Linked DNA regions of Xenopus tropicalis. The protein of the gene in region 3 interacts with the protein of the main gene of each other region in a pairwise test. Links are inferred from orthologs where the notes say so. Each region holds a gene or a part of one and is shown on either strand. Other genes may lie near its edges. The genes, in order: hoxb5, usp20 and trim23.

Region 1 (3,393 bases), on a different chromosome or scaffold from region 3:
CTGCCCCAGTCGCATCTGCTAAACTGCTCTCTCTCTCACTGCCGGTCCCCTCACAAGCCAGTTAAACTGTCACTTAACATTCTGGAGATTGTGAAATATATTGTACATTGTCAACTCCCTAAAACCATAAAACTAACTTTATGGAGCACACGTGACTTTTGCGAGCCAGTGAGGGGGTCTGAGCCTGAGGTCTGGGCCATTTGTACCATGGAACTTCTACATAAAACCCAATCCATTTGACATGGAAATGTCATACCTACTTGGGCTTTACTTTGCCCAAATCACCAAAGGGGACGGGGATGCCTTGGCTTCACTCTGCTCTGGGGTAAGTTTCCCACTAAACTTTCTCTCTAATTCGTTTGCCCTAATTGTAATTAATGTTGTTGTGATTGTGAGACCCCCCCCCCCCCCCAGTTCAGACTACAAAGCATGATTTGATACCTTCTCTTTGCAACTGTCGCACTGCTACAAATAATCATTTCCCAAACATGCAATCGAATACAAGGGCACCAAGTCGTGTGTTTTATAGCTTAATATTTTATTATTACTACTCATACAAAAATGGAGAATGGAATCTTCAGGCAGCCAGACAGGACAGGTACCTTTAAACACATTACAAAGTCACTCACTCCTTTAGATTGGTCACTTGAAAAAAATAAAATAAAATAAAAAAAGCAAAACACCGAGTTACAGTCTAGTGGGGACATCAGCCACCTTGCAGGGGGGCTACTATTAAACTGGGGGGGCTAATGATGACCAATACCACAGACTTTACAATAGAAAAGACGAGCCTTTTAGTGCATCGATCCGCCTAACTGGCCTGAAACAGCAAAACAACAACAACGAAAAATTGTAAAAACAGTAAACATAAAAAAAAAACTGAAATTCTTTTATTTTTTATTATAAATAAGTTATAATAACATTTAAGAGCTCTGAAAACATGCGATCTCCCTCCGGAAGCAGCATCGTGTCACAGTCACAAAACAATCAGGACGTTACTGGGAGCATTGGGAGACGACTAGAAATGGGAGACTGGGTGCAGTCCTGTGCCCTTTACATGCCGACAAGTGCCCTGTAGGTGCCCAAGGCAGAGAGTCCCGGCCAACGGTGCCCTCAGGGCTGGAAAGCGCTGCTGCCTGTCGCAAGGCTCATGCTTTTTAGCTTGTTGTCCTTTTTCCATTTCATCCTCCTGTTCTGGAACCAGATTTTAATCTGCCGCTCGGACAGGCACAAGGCATGGGCGATCTCGATCCTCCTCCTCCGGGTCAGGTACCGATTGAAATGGAACTCTTTCTCCAGCTCCAGCGTCTGGTACCGGGTGTAGGCAGTCCTGGCCCGCTTCCCATCCGGACCTGTCATGTCTGTATGGGGGGGACAATAAGGTTTTGGGGGGGGGGTTATTATAGAGATCATAGCACCCCTGCCTGCTCCTTGCCCCTCACAAGCCCCTCTTTAGAAAGACAATATCTTCCTTAATGATGTCCCTTAATGAAAACGAATTCTATCTCATTATATTCAGTTACTGATATAAAACATTTATCCACCGAATAATATACTCTATTTTACTGACTCCCTATACATTGTACCCCATCCCTGCTGCTCTATTACACCCTGTCTGTTACATTCTATTTTACTGTCCTGTTATCTGTTCTACATAAAAGGCCCCATAAACTTAATATCAGCAGATAATAAAATATCTCATATCGTATCACTTTCCCAAGGTTTACATTTAATATATAATATTATACAAATCAGGCAGCTAGAGCTGTAGGCATAACATTGGTACCACAATGTATATTATATATATTATATTTCGCCTGTCTGATCACTAGGCTGAGTTCAACCCAATAATCCTGGCATCGTGTTTGGGGGGGTAAAGGTGTATTATGGAAAGCTTTGTTTTTCTCAGCCCCCTGCACCTTTAGTGGGAAAGGGGGGAATAAAGCAGCGGTACCGTGGTTGATGTGCAGTTTTCTCATCCAGGGAAAGATCTGCGGGTTCTGTCCGTCTGTCCCGGCCGCTCCGGGGGAGCTGTTCTCCTGTAGTGCCCGGGGGGGAGCGCTGCTCCGGGGGGTGCTGGATTCCTCAGTCTCCGAGGAGGCGCTGGTTTCTTCTACCTCTGTGAATTGGGCGCTGGAGCCGGCGGAGGTGGCAGGATCCGTGGGGGAGAGTTCGTCTTTGTGGCTTTTGGCACAGGGCAGGGGGTCGGGGGTCGCCAGGGGGCAGCTCTGATTTGCCCTGAACCTGCTCTCCTGCCCGGGGAAGGCGCTGTCCCCATAGTGGCTGCTGGAAGCTGCTGCCCGGCTCACACTCAGGTCCATCCCATTGTAGTTATATCCATAAGCCGAGGGCTGCATGCTGCCTGCTGCCTCCCTGTATGATCCGCTCAGATTGCTGCTGCTGCCAGTCCCATAATTTAACACATGGTAGTCGGGGCCATTAGGATAGCGCCCTGAGAACGAGTTCACAAAGTAGGAACTCATTTGGGTGATTTTTTTTTGGGGGGGAGGCTTTGATTTGTGGATCACCCTGAGCCTCACGATTTATGATGTATTAATGAATTATCCCCATACACTGTACTTGCTTTTTGCTATGTATGCGGCCAAATATGGGGGTGTGGGTGCGTTTGGAAATCACGTGCTTTTGTTGACCAGTCGTAAATTCTCACTGATGACCTCAAGAGGTAATCCATGCTCTATGGTTACAAATAATGACGATCTGAGAATCGTTAGGCCCAAGTCAATGTACAGCTTCCAAAAAAAAAAAATGATCCTGGGGAAAACTGTTCTCTCCATGTTGGCAGACCGCGACACCTACCGGAAATTCGGGGAACTGCAGCTCTAAATCACACACCCAGGAAAATATTCTTTAGCTTCTCTTTAGCCCCGAACTCAAACTGTCTGTGTATTTATACATTGTCGCTTTTGTATTAAAAGAACACCCAAATAATAAGTAAAAGCAAAACCATGTAAGCGATTTATTCCTTTACCCATAGTTGTTCTCTGCCTGCTCCATGTTACCGTTATTTTAGCGTCCCCTTAAATCGTCATAAAATAAAATATTGCTATGGGCAAAATAAAAGAACTCCGGTCTGTTTTAAACCCTGCCTTGTATTTCTTTCATTCTAATATATTTTAGGGCGAGTTCAAAAAGACTAGGATTTGTAGCTATGAAGGCACGTTGTAATATAAAACAAAAGAATATGTCAAAGGACTGAGCTAAAATAAATCTGTCCGGTAAAAACTAATTGAATCGAATGAAATTGCCAGTGTCCATTACGATCAGGGATTTCTGGAAACTCTTGCATTTCCATTTCTGACTTTATTTATCTATATATGTATATATATATGTATATGGGTGTATATCTCGATAAAAGCACCAACCCAATGGTGT
Region 2 (3,758 bases), on a different chromosome or scaffold from region 3:
TGAATGTGGCTCATGGGTAAAAAAGGTTGAGGACCCCTGCTTTATGTGATGAAAAGGCCGCAGTTTGGTTGGCTTGGGAGGGAGAGGAGAGGCCTGGGCAGCAGACTGTAAGCACAGCAGTTAGACCTGAATGAGGATAATAGGGTCACATGACCACTTGTGAGAGCCTCAGCCATTCGCGGTACAAGGCCGCAATCATGATGCCATTATATCAGAGGATGGCATACATCAGCAACTGGTTACCCGTAGATACCAAGCACAATGCCAGCTGCTCACAGAAATCTCAATTTAATTGCAAAAAATAGTCAGCAATTTATACACAGCATGAGTCACTTTCCCTTCAGCTTCATCCATATATGGTTCCGCTGATCCGGCATTATCTACATTTGAGCCTGTATGTCAGCTGACACCATTCTTTTTATACAATATATATATTATATACACACCTGTGGCCCACTTGTGCAGGATATACAACAATCACTATCATATGTTCTATATATACTACCAACTGCCTACCTAGTACAAATACCAGCCTTTCTGCTTTATTATATACTATCCAGTGCCCTTCTCTGTAAATACCAGCTTGTCCCCTTCTCTGTGCATACACCAGAATCTGCCCAAATCCTATGTATATACCAGGCCATGCCCATCACTGTTTTTGTGTATATTCCAGCTTGTGCCACTGTCTTTGTCTCTACCGTTTCCTTCTCTGTGTATATACCAGCCTGTGCCCCTGAGAATATATAAACCTGCTCCCCTCTCCTCTCTATGTGTAACCTTGTGCCTACCTCCTCTCTGTGTATATACACCAGTCTGCCTCTCTTCTCTGTGCCCCTCTCTTGTGTATTTATCGGCATGTACCATCCTCTGTGCATACACCAGGTTGTGCCCACCTCCTCTCAGTGTAAATACCAGGCCATTCCCATCACAATTTTGTCTATATTTTAATTTGTGACACTCTCAGTCTGTCTCTAGCGTTTCCTTCTCTGAGTGTATAACAGCCTGTGCCCCTGGGAGTATATCAAGCTGCTTCCCTCTTCTCTCTACATAAATCCAAGCTAGTGCCTAATTTCTTCTCTGTGCCCAGCACCTCACTGTGTATATACAGCAGTCTGCCCCCTTCTCTGTGCCTAGCACCTCTCTGTGTATATACACCAGTCTGCCCCCTACGCTGTGCCCAGCGCCTCTCTGTGTATATACACCAGTCTGCCCTTTCTCTGTGCCCAGCACCTCTCTGTGTATATACACCAGTCTGTCCCCTTCTCTGTGTATATACACCAGTCTGCCCCCTTCTCTGTGCCCAGCGCTTCTCTGTGTATATACACCAGTCTGTCCCCTTCTCTGTGCCCAGCGCTTCTCTGTGTATATACACCAGTCTGCCCATATATATATATATATATATATATATATATATATATATATATATATATATATATATATATATATATATATATATATATATATATATATATATACCAAATCAAACACAACCAGCACCAAGGGTCTTGTGGTTCAAACAAATATTATAGTATTATAATTGCATGTACAACTGACGTTTCGGTCCCTTTTGGGACCTTTAAAAAGGTATATATATATATATATATATATATATATATATACAGTCCAGAGTGGGAGGCACACCATAAAATGAGAGTAAACCTAGGTGCCAGAGCTATAAAATCTGTAGATAGGTAAAGAATGTCGGCACTCTTAGGATTTCCACAATAAGGCAAAAAAGTAAAGTTTTTTTTCAAATGCAAGCGGTGAGATTTATTGTTTCCAACGTTTCAGTCCTTTACTAGGACTTTCGTCAGGGAGTGCAGGAAGGCAAAGACATTGCACTCCCTGACGAAAGTCCTAGTAAAGGACTGAAACGTTGGAAACAATAAATCTCACCGCTTGCATTTGAAAAAAAACTTTACTTTTTTGCCTTATTGTGGAAATCCTAAGAGTGCCGACATTCTTTACCTATATATATATATTTATATTGAGAGAGAGATACAAGTTGCTAGTAAGCTGCACACCATGAGAAGAAATAATACCTGGGGGTGCCAGAGAAGGTGTGTGTGTGTGTGTGTGTGTGTGTATATACATACACACACACACGCAAGGTTAATATGATGCACTGCCCCCAGGCCCCTGCCGCTACACTAAGCTAAACCCCTGCCTGTACAGACATTAATCCTCTAGTAGTTATGGAGCTTGTACATGGATACGGGGTGCAGGAGCAAACCTACCTCCCTATGCCATGCCAGCCTGATGCCAGATACCTCTGTTACCGCAGCTGTTGACTGCTGATTCCTAACTCCGCCCCACACTGCCAAGGCAAGGGCGGAGATCCGGAAGCTTCTCACTGGCATTATTACATCATTAGACCGCGCCGGAAGTTTACATATTCCGTAGTGTCCGGGTTCAGCAGCGGGGAGAAAGATGCCTGGGGGAAGAAACTTTCGGAGGCGTAAAGCCTCGTCGTCAGATGAAGAAGCGGAGGCTGAAGAAGTAACTCAGGAGGTTAGGTAGGTTCTCGTTATATTTCTGCGACTCAACAGTGAGGATACTCGAAGTTGTATTCGTGTGAAACGTTACCTCAGGCCTTTTTTTTATTCCAAGAACGCGTTACTATGGATACCAATTAGCCATAAACACATTGTTGGGAGGGCAGACTTGGGGGTCTGCTTTTTCTATAGGTGTAACTAACTAACCCCCTTCCCCATCACTGTTCTACCTGAGCGTTAGTGGGCAGAGATAGGGGAAGTGAGCAGTGTCGGGCTGGGACCCAGGGGCCCACCAGAAAACATTAGACCCTCGGCTCACTCTCCAAATTATTTTTTTCTCAACCAACCTCTGCTAGTCTCTTTTATTTACATGCCAATATCTATTCTTCCATCTATTTCTCTTCTTTGTTTTCATTCAGCAATAGGGTATGACCGTGAAGTAGGCCAAATGGTAGGAGCAGGAGGGCTCACTGACACCTGTGCCCACCAGGAGTTTCCTGGTAGGCCAGTCCGACACTGGAAGGGAGGGGCAGGGTGTTGGTTTGTGAGGGGAGGGTGGGTAATGCCCTCTGGGGGGCCCTGCGTGGTCTGGTAAGTCAATACAGGGTACAAGAATGTGTTTACTTAACAAGCACATGTGGGCCGAGGAATGCGCGCACACACACACACACACACACACCATATGTAGATTCAGCACTCCTAAGCGTGGTCAAAAGACCCATGTGCTACCAATTAAGCATTAAAAATAAAAAATCTAGTGAATATTGGTGCACACCGGGAATCATTTAAAAAAGTAGCCTTTATTGTAGTAAAAAAAAAAAAAAATAAAAAATATATATATATATATATATATATATTTTATTATATATTATTCTCTTATTAATACCCTGTTTGTATTAATGTATTCTACTGTACAGCACTGCGTACATAAGTAGCGCTTTATAAATAAAGATATATATATATATATATATATATATACATATACATATACATATACATATACATATATATATATATATACATATACATATACATATACATATACATATATATATATATAGAAACAACAACAAGAGATCCTCTGCACTCACCCATTATCAATATATAGGACATTAAGACATTCAGTGCATTTAAGCTACTAAGAAATGCCCTTCCCTTTAAGCAAAACAGGGATTGTTTGTCCATATATTGCAATATACTTCAAGCTGGCCAACTGGGTCAAAGTCATCCCTTTTGACCAGTTCCTACACTGACTTATGCGAT
Region 3 (3,758 bases):
AATTGATCAGAAAAATCTTCTTAAAGCACTTATGGGAAAAAATGTTTTGCTTTACATCTATCAATGTCTGATTATTAGAGAACTCCTATCTAGATTCTATGGGGAAAATCTCTTTCCTCTCGTCTCTACCACTTAATCCTGAATGTAACTGTATTTTGTATTATATTTCATTGTACTGACCTGCCTGTTCCATTAATGTTAGTTAATTTGGCATTGTGTGTGCCATTAATTTGTTTTGCTGCACAGCTCTGCTTGCACAAGGTTCACTTTACAATGCTGTTTGTTGCACCCCTTACACGTATATGCATAAATTGGCCCCCGTGTAATGTTTTAAAGCCCCAAAAGACCTAAATAATTACTACCTGATACCAGGGCTATTTATTACATCTACTGTAACTTTTGAATGACGCTGCTCTCAAAAAATAGTAGAACCCTTATATTTGTCAGCTGGATGAGCTCATCCTTGCTATTAACTTACTTTTAATTAGAACAAATGTTCCTTAATGATATATTCTTAATAAAAACCTGGTTTAGTTGAGATTACAGTTTATCTTTCCCATCACTGTTGGTACAGGTTGGTATGTCTATCATTTATCATGTCTATTAGTCAGCACAGAGTTTTTCTGTATTTCCAGCATTATTGTATTTTAGTTCCCCTGCTTGAGGATAATCATACAAAAATGTATTGTAACCGTTGTGGAGCCCACCAATGAGATCATGCCCAATTGGTTAATTCCATGCACTTTCTTTGTGTCCTATGGGCCCCCAACCTGCTCCAAACGCAAGCATAAGCAGGAGGGGGCCACTCAGCTATGGCAGACAATCTGAGTAACTGCTGCTTTGCAGAATAATCATTTGCACTAACTGCGCTGCCATGGGGTTACTGTAGCATCAATGGTTAAGAAGATCACTCAATGTGGCTACCATAATGGCAAGGGATGGAAGTAACTAGAAATGACAGGGCAAGGCAGGGCAGCCTCTTGCTTAGGTGCATAGTCTATGTACTCTGGAACAGAAGTGAGTGGGCCAGGACACCTATGGGAATGGCCAGTGCAGGAAAGCTCTGGCTCCTGTGCTACAGCTTGGGGCAGGCCGGGCTGACTCCCCAGTCAGGGCGCAGAGAACACACACCACAGCCTCACACTGATACCTTTCAGGGCCAACAAATGTTCCTGCTTGGGCTGATTGACGTCCATGGTGCCAGAACCGCCGTCACCACCCCTACACACACCCGGAACTGCCTGTACGGGAAGACGAAAGGGCCAGTTCTAGTAAAACAAAATGCGCATGCGCAGAGGCTTTTTCCGCTTCTCAGTTCTATTATTCACATTGCAACAGAGCCCTGCAAAACTTTTATTTCGACAAAAGCTGCAGAACCACAGAATCGCCGTCTCTGCTATCTATCATTTTGTTTTTGTTTCAGGGGAAAAATATGAGGGCACGTTTGCCAATGTTTAAGATGGCGCCTTATAGCGTTAGCTCCCATTTTTCTGAGGCAAGAGACTGAGTTGGGTTATAGCTATTGGGTGAAACCACTTTGCGGTTTCGCTAGTAATAGTTTTAAAAGCCTTTTGCTCAGTCGGTGGTGTCATACGGATTAGACTTCTCAGATTGCTACTGTTATGAACCTAAGTAGATATATTCATTGTTTTTTAAAACAGGGTTTATTCTTAAATAATGCCATTTTCAACACCAGGATTCACATGATTTCTCAACCCTCTACCCGAAGTGGTACGGTCCAGCTGTCAACATGGCTGTCGCTGTAAACAGACACGGCGGCCCTGGAAGAATGGAGGGCAGCGGACGGCAGAGCCGGACCGGTCCGGGGGGAGCAGTAAAGGTGATACTAGAGCAGGGTTACGGGAGAAGTGTATGCCGTGTAGTTTGGGCCCTGGTTTATCCCTGCAGGAGGGCCCCCCTGCGTCTGGCTATATGCATTCTCCTTCCTACATCATTTCGTTGCAGAGTGCAGGGAGGCTTTAGGGGAAAGGGCAGTTTCGGAGATGGGATACTCCTAGGGGGAAACAAAGCAGAAAGGGCCTATTATATTGTGCTAGAGAGGAAGCTGCGGGGCCCAGACACTGAGTGATAAGCAATTCCAGTATATACTTATGTACAATAACTCTTAAACTTTAGGGGGGGGGGGGGTAATATGAATTTGCTGCGGGGCCCAGACACTGAGTGATAAGCAATTCCAGTATATACTTATGTACAATAACTCTTAAACTTTAGGGGGGGGGGGGGTAATATGAATTTGCTGCGGGGCCCAGACACTGAGTGATAAGCAATTCCAGTATATACTTATGTACAATAACTCTTAAACTTTAGGGGGGGGGGGGGTAATATGAATTTGCTGCGGGGCCCAGACACTGAGTGATAAGCAATTCCAGTATATACTTATGTACAATAACTCTTAAACTTTAGGGGGGGGTAATATGAATTTGCTGTGGGGCCCAGACACTGAGTGATAAGCAATTCCAGTATATACTTATGTACAATAACTCTTAAACTTTAGGGGGGGGGGGGGGGGGTAATATGAATTTGCTGTGGGGCCCAGACACCTCTAGTTATGCCACTGACATTAGCTATGGGCAGCCTTAGAGCTCTTTGTTCTTGTTGTACTGCACCTCCATACATTGGCTAGTAGGGCTATTGAGAGTTCTAGCAGAACAACAACTGGAGGGCTGCAGGTTAAACATCCCTAATATATTATATATACATATATTAATCCCCTTCATCAGACTCCAGGCTTTCTGCATTGCAAGCTACCCACCCCCCTTTAACTCCAGCCCTGGCTGTATGGATAAGTGTAAATGTCCTATACAGGGTTGTCTTTCAACTTTCCTATGCGTTTTAACTCCCAATGAACTACAACTCCCAGCATGCAAAGTCAGCTAGATGTAGGAAGCATATGGATAATACCCAATGGCAGCTATTGATATTCCATACCCACATCTGCAAAGGCAATAAGCCTATTGTATGTATTTATAACTTTATTTTTATATTGCTGCAAGGATACATAGCACTGTATCATTTTAAGAGAAAATGCTGCTTTAATTTATCTTAAACCTTATTAGCACCACCCAGCCTTTCCACTTCCACAGGCAGCTTTCCTGGGCTGTTCAGGAGGAGCAGTGGTCCCCAGCCTGATCTTTAGCAAGCAAATGATACATCCAGCAACATGGTTGCATCCTCGTAACTTTCAGACTGATATATTTAAATGTCTCTCCACAATGTAACCTTTCCACAATTGTTTAATCAACACTAGGTTCTGGAATGTGGTGTCTGTGAAGATGTCTTTTCACTGCAAGGAGATAAAGTTCCACGTTTGCTGCTTTGCGGCCATACTGTGTGCCATGACTGTCTAACACGCCTGCCTCTTCATGGCAGAGCCATACGCTGTCCATTTGACAGACAAGCTACTGAACTAGGTATTAAAGAATTCATTTTTTACTTTACTAAGCAATAGTATTATGTAATGTATTTAAGGTCTCTATAACACAAGGATTTTGATAGCTGTTACCTGCTGCAGATTGCTTCCCATTTGCTTCAAGTTGCTCTGCACTAGCTGCTCTCTCTTGCAACAAATAGATACTGGGTGACCCACTGCTCTCAAACAGGCCCAGACTGGGATTTATAATAGGCAGCTGCCCCTCTGGCATTTGCCAGAATCCACAGATTGCCAGTCTGGGTGTGCTTTAGAAACTCTGGGAACAGCCCATCTTTTGAGAATCTCTCCTTTATTCTGTTCCAAAATG

Evidence for each region.
Region 1: the proteins of trim23 (region 3) and hoxb5 interact in binary tests that used the Homo sapiens proteins (3 or more experiments, as listed by UniProt). The two-hybrid records come from large-scale screens. The link is inferred for Xenopus tropicalis from reciprocal best matches to the Homo sapiens genes TRIM23 and HOXB5.
Region 2: the proteins of trim23 (region 3) and usp20 interact in binary tests that used the Homo sapiens proteins (3 or more experiments, as listed by UniProt). The link is inferred for Xenopus tropicalis from reciprocal best matches to the Homo sapiens genes TRIM23 and USP20.

What each region holds. Positions count from the first base shown.
Region 1 is NC_030686.2:12,061,411-12,064,803, forward strand, and holds hoxb5 (homeobox protein Hox-B5), read right to left. Parts: upstream 2,529-3,393; 5' UTR 2,484-2,528; coding exon 1,955-2,483; intron 1,362-1,954; coding exon 1,114-1,361; 3' UTR 522-1,113; downstream 1-521. UniProt on the Homo sapiens protein: Sequence-specific transcription factor which is part of a developmental regulatory system that provides cells with specific positional identities on the anterior-posterior axis.
Region 2 is NC_030684.2:22,435,600-22,439,357, reverse strand, and holds the start of usp20 (ubiquitin carboxyl-terminal hydrolase 20), read right to left. Parts: upstream 2,377-3,758; 5' UTR 2,361-2,376; coding exon 2,238-2,360; intron 1-2,237. Other genes in the region: uncharacterized protein C9orf78 homolog, read left to right, coding at 2,431-2,516.
Region 3 is NC_030677.2:187,787,035-187,790,792, forward strand, and holds the start of trim23 (E3 ubiquitin-protein ligase TRIM23), read left to right. Parts: upstream 1-1,284; 5' UTR 1,285-1,750; coding exon 1,751-1,840; intron 1,841-3,268; coding exon 3,269-3,431; intron 3,432-3,758. Other genes in the region: trappc13 (trafficking protein particle complex subunit 13), read right to left, coding at 1,151-1,196.